3 linked regions of the Schizosaccharomyces pombe genome follow. The protein of the gene in region 3 interacts with the protein of the main gene of each other region in a biochemical or structural test. Each region holds a gene or a part of one and is shown on either strand. Other genes may lie near its edges. The genes, in order: moa1, csm1 and cnp3.

Region 1 (3,077 bases), on a different chromosome or scaffold from region 3:
GCGAGTACAATCAAATGTTAAATACGCTATCACGAAGTTATAACTGCAGTATCGTACACTACACCCTAATTCACTAATTAGAAATAACGGTATATATTTTATTAGTTGTTCAATGCAAGAGATTGAACGGTTTTTGCTAGTTCGTCGTTGGTTTCTGGTGTATCGAATTTCAAAGTAGAAAAATCTTTGCTAAAAATTGTTAGTAACCTAGATAGTTGTGATGACGTTGAACAGTCATATATTGTCTGAAACAACGTAGGTAATTATACAGAAGTTGACCAAACTAAAGAAAGAACGATTGTCACAAAGATTGTATATAGTTTTTGGAAAGAATACTCATTAAACGATCCATGCAACCATCCCCAACCTAGTTTTTACAACAAAGTACTTACTGCATAGCATAAGCATCTTCACCATCAGCATAATATTTGCTTTCAATCCCTTGAACGCTAAAATAATGTTAGAATCTCTTCAATGATGGCGAGTAAAAACATACTCAAATTGCAAAGTATCACGATAAAGATGAATAGCAGCTCTGTTGCTTTTACGAACATGAAGACTCATATATTTGGCGCCATAAACTTCGACCATGGCTCTTTCTGTTCATTTAAGTAGTTAGTATCTTTTACTTTTTTTAAAAAAATTTTGTTTAAGGAATGGACCGAAAATATCAAGGAATCAGCAGGAAGGAAACATTGTCGAAAACAAATTAGGTAAAAAAAATGAATTGTTGCAAGGAAAAAACCAACTCACCAAATGAACAATTCAAAGTATTAGCAGACCAAGTCTTGCACAAAATAAAATATATACATATTGGAATAATCATCGATAACAACTGCAAAAAAGCTTAAGATTTCCCTCTAGCTCCTCCTTGGATATATCCGTAATCTACTTCGCTCTCAATTAACACTTACGACTTTGAACCATGAGACGTTTAGCAAGTCCTAGATGACGATAGGAGCGCATTACTGAGACACTTGTGATATGACCATGAGGGATCCCATCCTTAGGCTCTTCTTCCATTTTTGCAAGAACATATCCTACGACACGTCCTTTCGGATCAGTAGCAACATAAGAAAGCATAGGCCAAGAAATAGCATGATAAAGGTCTACATTAAATTAGAAAATAAGAATCATTGTTTTAATACTGGAAGTTCATTGCCGTGCAGCAAGAATTACAATGAATTGAACTTACAATATTTTAACTGATAATTTTCAGGCAAGTTATGTAAGTTGCAGTTCTGCATCCCAGTAAGGTCACTTATACGAGCTGGCCGAATATCCATCTTGCCAATCGTTTAATTTTTAGCAATATCTATGATTTTTGTTTGTTAGTGGTTGGAATCAAATTTCCAGCATACCATATTTTAAGAAAGCGCAGTGAATGTAAAACGAAATTCAGGGAATGCAAAGCAACTACTGCAAAGCTTTTAGAAATGATAAGATTCATTTGATGTTAATATTATCTGTCAAGTATTTTAACGTCAAATATTTACTGCTTTGCTAAAAAAACTATGTTTTTTGGAGACTCACAATGTTCGACGTTAAGCTCCTTTTAAGTTACAAGCCGTTTAGTACACATTGCATAACCAAATTTCTAATTACTTAATGTTGCGTTTCCTAAGTTGTTTTGATTTTCAATGCAGATGATGAGAAATCCTTATTATAAATAGACAATGATGTTTACGATGGATTGCACACTTAAAGACATTAAATCAAAACTTTATATTAATTAGCCATTAATTATATAATCTAAGTTAATACTTATAATCACCATAACATATTTTGTTTACTGTGGAATCAAAAAGGATTAGCGATGCTTGATTGAATCCTTTATTATCTTAAAGTCACACTACCTTGGTTTTCCTTTAAAAGTTTTAACAGCAGCCTTGTGGTTTCACTTAGGCTAAGTAAACTCAACGAAAAAACATTAAGATTTGTTATTCGTAAATTCAGCTAGTAGACCTCGAACATTAGGTTTTCCCATTGGTAAAAATGTAAACAAAACCGCATTAATCATATAAAACATTAAGCGAAAAAAAACAATAGATTGCATTTATGGCTATAAATAATGAAAACGAATTAGAGTATAAATTAATAAAAAAAAACAAGAATCCTAAAATATCAAATTCAAAAAAAAAGAATTCGACACGTCCAGCTTTACAAGACAAAACTAATCAAACATTACCAATTCATCAAAATCAAGCCTTTTCAAACATTCTTCCATCTGATTTTTCAATAATTAAGACACCTGAGACAAAAACTGCTGACGATTTCCCCGTAAATGGTTACGAAGGCTTAAACATTTTAAAATTTGATCTCGAGTTATTTTACAAACTTAAACCTGTAGCAACGTCGACCCCGAAGTCTTGCATGAGGACGGGCTCCAATTTATTTTTAAATGAAACTGTTAAACATGTTCCAGATGAACGGTTAGTTTCAAACATCAAGAATACCCAAACAAAGGACTCTATCACAAGAGATTCTGCGTATTATCACAGAAAAACTATGACAGAAAGCATAATCAAAACACTCGCTGCATTTGATGCTGAGGTTGATGAGATTATATTGTTTTAAATCTCTAACTGACACTGGAATATAATCGTACTTTTCAAGTACTAACGCATCTATTTTTCATATGATATATTTATTAAAAAAGATTTACAAACCTGCTTTACAAATCAACCTTGACTACGATTTTATTTATACATATCGATCAGGACAAACGATAGCATGTTCAACAATATTTGACGCGAAAGGCCGACAAAGAAAAGTGGATAAAGTCAGCGCATAAATTTAACCTTCAAACATTTCTTTCATTTTAAAAAAGCAAGTAAGGAAAGCACATACTTTTCGGTAGTCTACATACTCGGTAAATTAAGATACGGATTATGCTATAATAAACAGAAAAACATCTAATTATCATTTAACACTTCTTTACGATGAAAAGACCGCATATTCCGTGGTTCAATCGTATATTTCATGAGATTATTCTGGTTTTCTGTACTGCATTTTTTCAACCCGGACCTCTCCATCAAAAATCCTATAAACATAAAGTATTAAAACTGCTCCTTGAA
Region 2 (3,668 bases), on a different chromosome or scaffold from region 3:
TCGCTATTTTAAAATTACTATGGAAGGGCCTCAGCAATCAGCTTATGAAGGTGGAAAATTTCACTTAGAGCTGTTTCTTCCTGATGAGTATCCAATGGTAGGTTTTTTTTGAAAACACAGTATTGAGCCTACCATGGTCCTTTTGCTAGCCCTGCTAGTTCAACAAAAATTTGAAGAATGGCATTGTCAGTTTCAAACTGTCTTCAAAAAATTGTATAATTGTGTAATTTGAGTTTTAACAACTATTAGATGCCTCCCAATGTTCGTTTTCTTACTAAAATTTATCATCCAAACGTTGATAAATTAGGTCGCATATGTTTATCTACGTTAAAAAGTATGTTAAACTTCACACGTTTCATCTTATTTTGGTGTACTAACATTAATAAATCAGAGGATTGGAGTCCTGCTTTACAAATTCGAACCGTGCTACTTTCGATACAGGCATTAATGGGTGCTCCCAACCCAGATGACCCTTTAGACAATGATGTTGCAAAGATTTGGAAAGAAAATGAGCCACAGGCAATTGCAAATGCCCGTGAATGGACGAAAAAGTATGCAGTTTGATTACTTATGATAGTCCAATGCTTATGGTTATCACTAGAATAATAATATATTACGATATCAATAGCTTTCTATATACAGTCTTTGATTTGAATTCTACCCATTTCCTTAAGTTTTTTGCATTCAATTTTTTCCTAAGCGGTTAAGGTCTTTTCGAATAAAAGATGTAAAAATTAATAATAGATAATTATGGTAGCAGAATACAAACATCGCAGCTTTTGACGGACGATGAAAAAAGTGATATCTCGACGAGCACAATTAATTTAAGATATAGTGCTATTCATATAACAAGGAAGTATTAAAGTTTAAGCAAAATCCATAGTTATTATTGTTAATCTTGCAAAGCTTTCATTAATCTAGCAGAAAATAATTTTCCTTGTTCTTTCGTAAAGATAATTTCCTCCAACAAATAGTCTGGTAAATGTTTCATAAGCTCCTCATCAGTTTGAACATTCAGACGTGGAGTAAATGTAAAGTTTTGATCATCTAACAAGAGCTGATATTCGAGTGCTATAATAATATCCTGTTAGCTTGAAATTATTTCTAAATCCCTTAAAGCACTTACTCCCTCTCCTTCCAGTGTTTTTACAGTTGAAACGATATCCATCCTCGTCCTCTATACAGTCTGCAACTTCTAATCCGAAAAGCTCCTTTATAAGTATATTAATTTTTGAATAGTTTTTTATTTGCTCTCGAGTTTTCAATAACTCATTCTTTAACGAATGGTTAGCTTTCTTTTCATTTTCTAGTTCTTTTTTTAAATCTTTGACTATTGTGTCTTCTTGAATGTAAGTAAAAAATTCAGAAATAGGCCTTAGTCTTACCATCAGCGTCAGCGCCAGCATTGGTAACAGGTTTTGCCAAATCTTCAAGTAAATAAAATTCTTGTAGTTCATTAATTTTTCGTATCAGCTTGTTCAGTTCATTGAATTCCTGCTCTTGGGTGTGCGAAAGAGTAGATAACTCTACGTTAGGGAGTTGCAACTTCTTATTCAACTCTGACATCCCGGAATTATTGATATGAAGTTCATTTTCGTTCTCCCTTACACTATATGCATCTTGATCTTCATTATTAACAAAATCCTGAGTTGAATGCATTTGTCCTTGAGAGATGCGTGTACGCTGTTTTGGTAATTTATGAATAAGCTTGGACGATTTTCCTTTAGCTTTGATATGTCAGCTTAATCTACACAGAATAAATATACCTTGTTCTTTTAGTTCACTATCTTTAGATGTTTGCATATTATTTTTTCTCATACTTTGTGGTGGATAGTGTTAACATTAATAATTGATCCTGGTGTGCAAATACATTAAATAAATCTAAAATATATCATAATAACTGTTTTATATTTCTTTCAATATAGTCCTTGAAGCCACTTTATTTTGACCGTCTTAGACGGTGGATTCTTTGGATTAAGCAGAAATTATGCAGTTAGCTTGATTCCAAATACAAGTTGCATTATTGCCTACTAATTTAATATTTTTAACAGATGAGCTACCAAGTCTTTCATAGTAAAATCATGTTTCTTTAATTCTTCTCTGTCATAGATTTCCGATTACACCTCCGCCTATCTCACCATATTTCTCCCACTCAATACATTCTCTAGGCTATTATATATCCTTCGATCCTGTTGCTTAACCTGCAAAGAAACTAAATTAAATATCTTCATTTTATTTTCTAAATGGGATGAATTGTAGACGAAAACCTCTTCCTTTACACTCGAACGAAGTTCAAGCTGCAGAGTCTATAAGTAAAGATGAGCTCTATAGGTTTGTTATTTCATTACTTTTCATTTTAATTAACCAACGTATTTAGCTGGACTTTAAAGAATGTGTTAATCCTGTTCTTAGTACAGTATCGTGCATCTACCCCTTCAGCTCTGCAGACATCATCATTTAGTACACCAGTTGAGAAAAAGACCAATGGGGCATTTTCTGGTAGTCTATTTTCTGCCAAAGAAAAAAAAGATAATCCAAAATATCCCAAGGATTTTATAAAATATTTATCGCTTGCCCTTGAGAGTATTAGTATGGGAAAAGAGCCAGAATATCAAGATCAGTTGATCAGAGGATGTTTCGCAGCATTTTACAATAACATAAACAAATCTCATATATCTAAGCAATTAAAAGACTCGAGGAAAATTGAGGATATGTTTTTGATTTTTGCCAGCTCTGTTTCATCTGAACTTACTAAACGTTTGGGAACAGCTTACGATTCAAATTTAGCAGACAGAATTACTGCTTCCTTTATTGAGTTATGCAAAAGAGTCACGCTTAAAGGCCAATTGGCTTCCCCATCATCTGAATTTGTATCCCATCTTGACATGTATCACTCAAAGCTTCTCAACAAAAGTGAAATACTGAGTACAAAACGCGTTAATAGAGGACAAGATCAATTTGACCTTTCATCTTTTCCTTTGTTAAAAGTTTTTTCGTCAGTATTCAAGGTTGCTTATTCAAAAGCATTGTTGGATGCTGAAAAATTATTTCCCTCAATAGATGAGGCCGCCATAGCTGAAGATATTGGCATTTTAATTGAGGATTTAGAAAGTGATGCTTGTAAATTTTCGCATTCGGTGGTCGATTTTTCTAATTATAAATCATACTCCACTTGGAAAGCTCGTGAACTTCAAACACTAGAACAACATCGTAAAATCATGTTAAGTTTGATTCCTCTTTCTTCATCACCAAATCACCCTATTCAACCGATTGGTTTTCCTGCCAGTAGAAAAACGCCGACATACGTGCCGCCAATAGCGCGGCCTTACTTTCGGCAACTTCTATCGCTATGTCTTGAATACAGATTACAAGTTACAGATCCTGTTGAAGTCAAGCAAATAAACACATTTATAAGGGAGTGCTCCATTTACTGGAGAATATTGCCATCCACTCGCTGTGCTTTGAGTATGGATTTTGCACGCGAACATTTACAAAAAGGGTTGATAACTTCAGCAGACGTTTTGACACATTTCGGTGAGCTTCATAAGTCACTCAAAGAATGGGAGATAACATATTGGCCAAAGATCGATGTTTCAATTTTTAGTTCTGCATTGTTTGGAATCAGAAATGCATTAGCTCAACTTTTAAAGAAATCACTTTTAGATTTG
Region 3 (4,789 bases):
TGACAAATTGTATTATAGAGACATACTAGTTTCGTTTGTATCTCCAAGTTGACTTAGTTGTTGTAGGAAGTGAGACTATCAGGGTAACGGTCACCTAGCTTACCAAATGTCATTTCGTTTACAAAACTTACCACCATTTAATGTATTTAAAATATCTACACATAAAGATCTCTTTTAATTACATTCCTTGACGACTTTACTCTCCAGTTAAAATTTTTAATCATGATATTTGGGTACATTAATAAATTGTCAATTTTGAATGTGAACCCGTTTTCCAAAGCTAGTCAATCTGCGAAACTTTTGCTAGCAGTTGCCAGTAAAGAAACCAGCAACTCTCTTTATGGACTTAATCTCATTACCAGTCTTGCATCAAAGGATACCAATTCAAAACCATCTGTTGAAGTTGTATACAGTAAGGCTTTTAAGTAGCTAGATGGTTTAACTGCGACCGTTAGATTTGACTTTTGCTAATAATTATTATTTAGAGGATGGAAAAAAGTTGACTGTTGATCCGACAAAAATGAATATTGGTAGGCTAACTGAATTAATTGACGATTACAGTAAAACGCTTAAATTTAAGGAAATGATGCAAAAATAAGTTTAGAAAAAATGACTTTATTAATATGATTAAATTGATAACAGATAATTAAATTACATAACGACTAAATGACTTTTGTACATCGAAATCCATAACACACTATTAGTATTGTCATCGTTCGTTTGGAAAATCCCCTATTCCCCTTCTTTTATTTTCCAAGGTGTCGGTCGCATGGGTATAATAAAGTCGAACAGCTTCTTTGCCGATATTTTTTATGCTGTAATAATTCCCTAAAGCAATGTTAGTCAAAACACATTCTCGGTGTATAATTCCTGTTTGAATTTTTAGAAATGTGTATATTTAAACTTACCCCTTGGAACAATAAATACTCCATCTTTTTTCATTCGAAAAGTGGTTGCATTTACTGTGACCTCGATCTTTCCCTGTAGTATACAAAAAGACATTATGTTGTGTTTCGAAGGCTTCACTGGTTTTTCTGCTCCTGCTGGCATTTCAACGACGCCAGCAGCAAAAGATGGCTCCTCCTTGAACAAGCTGGCAAATTTTAGTTGTTGATTAGAGATTTGCTGGAGATTTACAGAAGGCAATGAATAGCCGACTACTCGTTCTTCAGAGGCTTTTGGGTTTTGTTCATTCCAAGATAGAACTTCACAGTTTATTTCGTCTTTGTAAAAAGCATCATATTCTTCAACATCATTCGATTTTGCTTCCAAGTTACTTTTTATTTCAACTCCTGAGCGCTTTGCATGCCTTTTCTTGCGACCTTGACGAATTGAAGGTGATGGATCGTCAACTCGGATTATCTGCTTTACTTCCGGTAGTGCTGGAATTCGATTTTCATCTCTATGTAATTCATATACAACACGCTCATTCTTCCAAAATGCTAGTGGTGCTATTCGTGTACGTTTCGACCTTCGGACACCAACTAGTGTATCTTCACGTTCGACCTGTTTAATTTCCTGTAAATTATTTCGAGCAATTGTTTTAATAAATTCTCCAGAAGCTGAATCTGATTGTGAATTCAATGAGTCATCCTTCTCGTTGGACATCTTCTTCGCGTTTCTAATTGCAGGTTTCTTTGCGCCTTTAACTTGTGTAGCCTCACTAGTTTGAACAGAATTGCCGATTTCTAATTTGTTCTTACGAGGTCGACCACGTTTTCTCTTGACTACTGGATTTGACTCCCCTTCTTTAACAGAATTTATGCTTGATTCTTGTAAAGGTTTATTAGGTGTTCTTTTCTTATTCTTTTGAGAATTGTTTGCTAGGCTTCGATTAAGCATAGAAAGCGGGACATCGATAGAAAGTTCGGAATCTTCATCTCTAGAATTTGGTTTGTTGCCCTGGGATATTGTTTTCTTTTCCTCTTTTTGCTTATTCTGTTTAGAAGGCTTAATCGTCTGTTCTGACTTATTATTTTGAACATAACTTCTACGGGGTTTTGAAATGGTTTGTATATAAAGATTATCGCGACCACCACTATCCTTGATACTAGTAAAATTCGCTACATTTTTTTGTAAAGCAGTAATATTTTCATCGGGGAATGCAGGCGATTCTTGAACGTTATCATCCTTGGGCGTAGAGGATGGTATTTTGGAAGGAAGTTCGGTACTTCTTCGAGGTTCGAATTTTTTTCTATCTGGAGATGCTTTTATCCTAGAAAAATCGACAATTCGATTTGCTTTTCTTGGCTGAATTGATAATTTGTTGCCATCGACTTTCGTCTTATCAGCGGTTCCTTCATCTTCCGCTTGAAAAGCTGAGTGATCTATAGGTACTGTATGTATAATTAGTAATTTTATCAATGAAATGAAACGGAAAGTAACAGTAGAGTATTTGAGGAGTTGTAAAATAAAAATCTGTGATGCGTAGATAGAACCTTACCAATTAAAGGACCAGACGAACCACGGCTAGCCCGAAGAGCTCTCGAATTCATCAACAATGGTGAAGAAGGAATATCCGGGTTTTTATCACTAGAGTCAGAAGATGAGGCATGAGAAGCTTCATCAGAAGCAGCATTGACTGCCATTGGAGACGTAGGTTGAAGTCTTGTTACTGGCGGCATATCCTGCTCAATGTCTCCATTATCTTCGTCCAAATGGATGGAACCGTCGGAAAGAAAATAAGCATCCATATCCTCGAATCCATCATCGCCTTTTTTAACGTCTCTGGGAACTGTGAATCCTGTTTTTCTAGATAAAAATATTTTTTAGTAAATTTATTAAAAAAAGAATAATTATTACGATATATGGAACCCAATTCGCGAACGTACCTGCCTACGACACCAATTTCAAAAAACTGATTCTCTCGTTGTCTTGCCGGAATAGCAGACGTTTCATTCATCGTCATTATTCTATTAAATAAACATTAAGTAAAAATATAGCCTAAATAGCCAAACAAAACAATATATGGGGACGTAAGTGTTGTCTTTCTTGTTTACGTGTAGTACAGGATGTACATTATGTGTCATGGAATAAGCCTATCAATCAGACCCATGCGAAAAGGCAAGGTGTATTCATTTTTGCTTCCAGTATAACTAACCAATACATATAAACTTAATTGCCTAAGCGCTTTTCTGTTTTTCTGAATGCATTTTATAGTTATATAATGTTAGGCAAACAAATACGAAATTGCGTTGGAAATGAAACTTACTAGTGCTGACAGCGTAGATTACGGTAAACAGAAACAAACATGCCTCCTTAGAATGAAGGTCAGAAAGGGAATTCCAGAGAAGAAATGAACCCTACCTAGAAGCATATTAAGTAGCCGCTACCAAGGGATGAACCCAAATAGTGGAAAAGACGGATTGAGCAATTGACATTCAAAAAAACGGCCTACCGCAATAACAATTTAAGAGATTAAAAATAGATTTATCATTTTTTATAATTTTTTTATTTTTGGGATTTCTTCTGGCTTGGCCATCCAATTGATGATTGTTTATTAACTTACGATTATATTAGTGCTAAACCACCATTATTTATTACAGTCGGTGTTATTAAGCGTATTGCTGACGAGATTTTTTTTCTTGTATGAATCCAAATTTGCGATGCTACGCCTTGACTGTTTTCTTTTTTTCACCATAGTATGTGAAAATTTTCTGATGCCGAAATCTCAGCAATGGTGAAATTTTGCCAAAAAAGGGGTCAATTGATCTTGAATAGGGCTGAAAAAAAAATTCAAAAGTAAATAAAATTAAATATATTTATTTACAAAAAGTTAAGTCGGTTTGGTTTTTCGCTTCTCTTTTTACAAAATTTTTTATTATTTTATTATTTATTTATTAATTTTATATCTAGCAGATCAATATTTAGCAAGCCACCCCGTACAATAATTAAAATAGCTCTTTTCATGACATAGTAAGAAGACTAAAGTGCGAAACATGTTCAATTAACGCCAAGAAAATGCTTCCGTTTACGCCTCCTTCAACCATACCCGAATTTTTTACTCAAAATTTATGTACGTACTTTTGGCTGTATTACAAGAATCCATAGCTAACCTCTGTAAAAGGATATCACCTTATACACAAAGGCTAGGTTATCCTGCTACCACTATAAAGAAAATGAAAGTTCCCATAATGAAGTCTGTATTTTGAATGTATATTGTCACTTTATTTCGCCTACAACCTTCACGCGAACTCAGCAAAAAAGGGAAAACCCTATTTTACAGCGGCTTCAAATCAGGTCCTTATTAGTGCGACCAATTGGCCTTTCTTCCTTAAAATGGCGATTGCCGTTTAAGGAATATCACTAGAAGCCGTTAGCAGCTATTATTTAAATTGGTAGTTTCAACAAGTAAATCGAAGAAGGCATATCTCTTTATACTTTGAGTGGCAACTCAAGAAATTGTTAAAATTAGCTGTTAAAAATTTGCCATAAATATAGAGAGTGAATGTCGTTTTGTTTACTAACAGTAGTACTCATGTACTCTAATCTAAATAGCTGTTTATTTCCAAAAAAAATAGTTTTATAGCTTATTATTCGTAATAATTAGTATTCAACCTTAGATTTGTAATATGCGCTCCGTTGCAAATGCAAAAAGATACTATTAGAGAAGAGCCGATTTTTTAAATTCTCGATGCCGCTGGATCATTTCCACTGTCTGTCTCATTATTTATTCTGTTTTTTTATATGATTCGATTTTATTTGTCTTTTTCATTTATAGCATTGGTCGATTGAAATCAAAATTTGCATTTTTTGTATTCCATTCGGGTTGCCGCCAATGTGTGCCCCT

Evidence for each region.
Region 1: the proteins of cnp3 (region 3) and moa1 form a complex in vitro, tested with the Schizosaccharomyces pombe proteins (one study listed by BioGRID).
Region 2: the proteins of cnp3 (region 3) and csm1 form a complex in vitro, tested with the Schizosaccharomyces pombe proteins (one study listed by BioGRID).

What each region holds. Positions count from the first base shown.
Region 1 is NC_003424.3:3,728,016-3,731,092, reverse strand, and holds moa1 (meikin), read left to right. Parts: upstream 1-2,058; coding exon 2,059-2,577; downstream 2,578-3,077. Other genes in the region: NatA N-acetyltransferase complex catalytic subunit Naa10, read right to left, coding at 102-189, 393-449, 497-599, 915-1,109, 1,196-1,286; retromer complex subunit Vps29, read right to left, coding at 2,989-3,077. UniProt on the Schizosaccharomyces pombe protein: Plays an important role in chromosome segregation during meiosis I by allowing meiotic rec8 to establish cohesion at the centromeric central core and thereby promote the side-by-side structure of kinetochores at meiosis I.
Region 2 is NC_003424.3:5,284,280-5,287,947, reverse strand, and holds csm1 (microtubule-site clamp monopolin complex subunit Csm1/Pcs1), read right to left. Parts: upstream 1,839-3,668; 5' UTR 1,819-1,838; coding exon 1,767-1,818; exon of another isoform or gene 1,728-1,766; coding exon 1,386-1,727; intron 1,340-1,385; coding exon 1,127-1,339; exon of another isoform or gene 1,072-1,126; coding exon 893-1,071; 3' UTR 658-892; downstream 1-657. Other genes in the region: ubiquitin-conjugating enzyme Ubc13, read left to right, coding at 1-97, 250-334, 392-564; Munc family exocytic/endocytic regulator Ync13, read left to right, coding at 2,249-2,331, 2,378-3,668. UniProt on the Schizosaccharomyces pombe protein: The monopolin-like pcs1/mde4 complex is essential for accurate chromosome segregation during mitosis and meiosis II. May clamp together microtubule binding sites on the same kinetochore, preventing merotelic attachment of microtubules.
Region 3 is NC_003423.3:4,125,661-4,130,449, forward strand, and holds cnp3 (centromere protein), read right to left. Parts: upstream 3,007-4,789; 5' UTR 2,909-3,006; coding exon 2,832-2,908; exon of another isoform or gene 2,752-2,831; coding exon 2,444-2,751; intron 2,337-2,443; coding exon 909-2,336; intron 829-908; coding exon 710-828; 3' UTR 658-709; downstream 1-657. Other genes in the region: mrpl44 (mitochondrial 54S ribosomal protein mL53), read left to right, coding at 223-412, 486-598.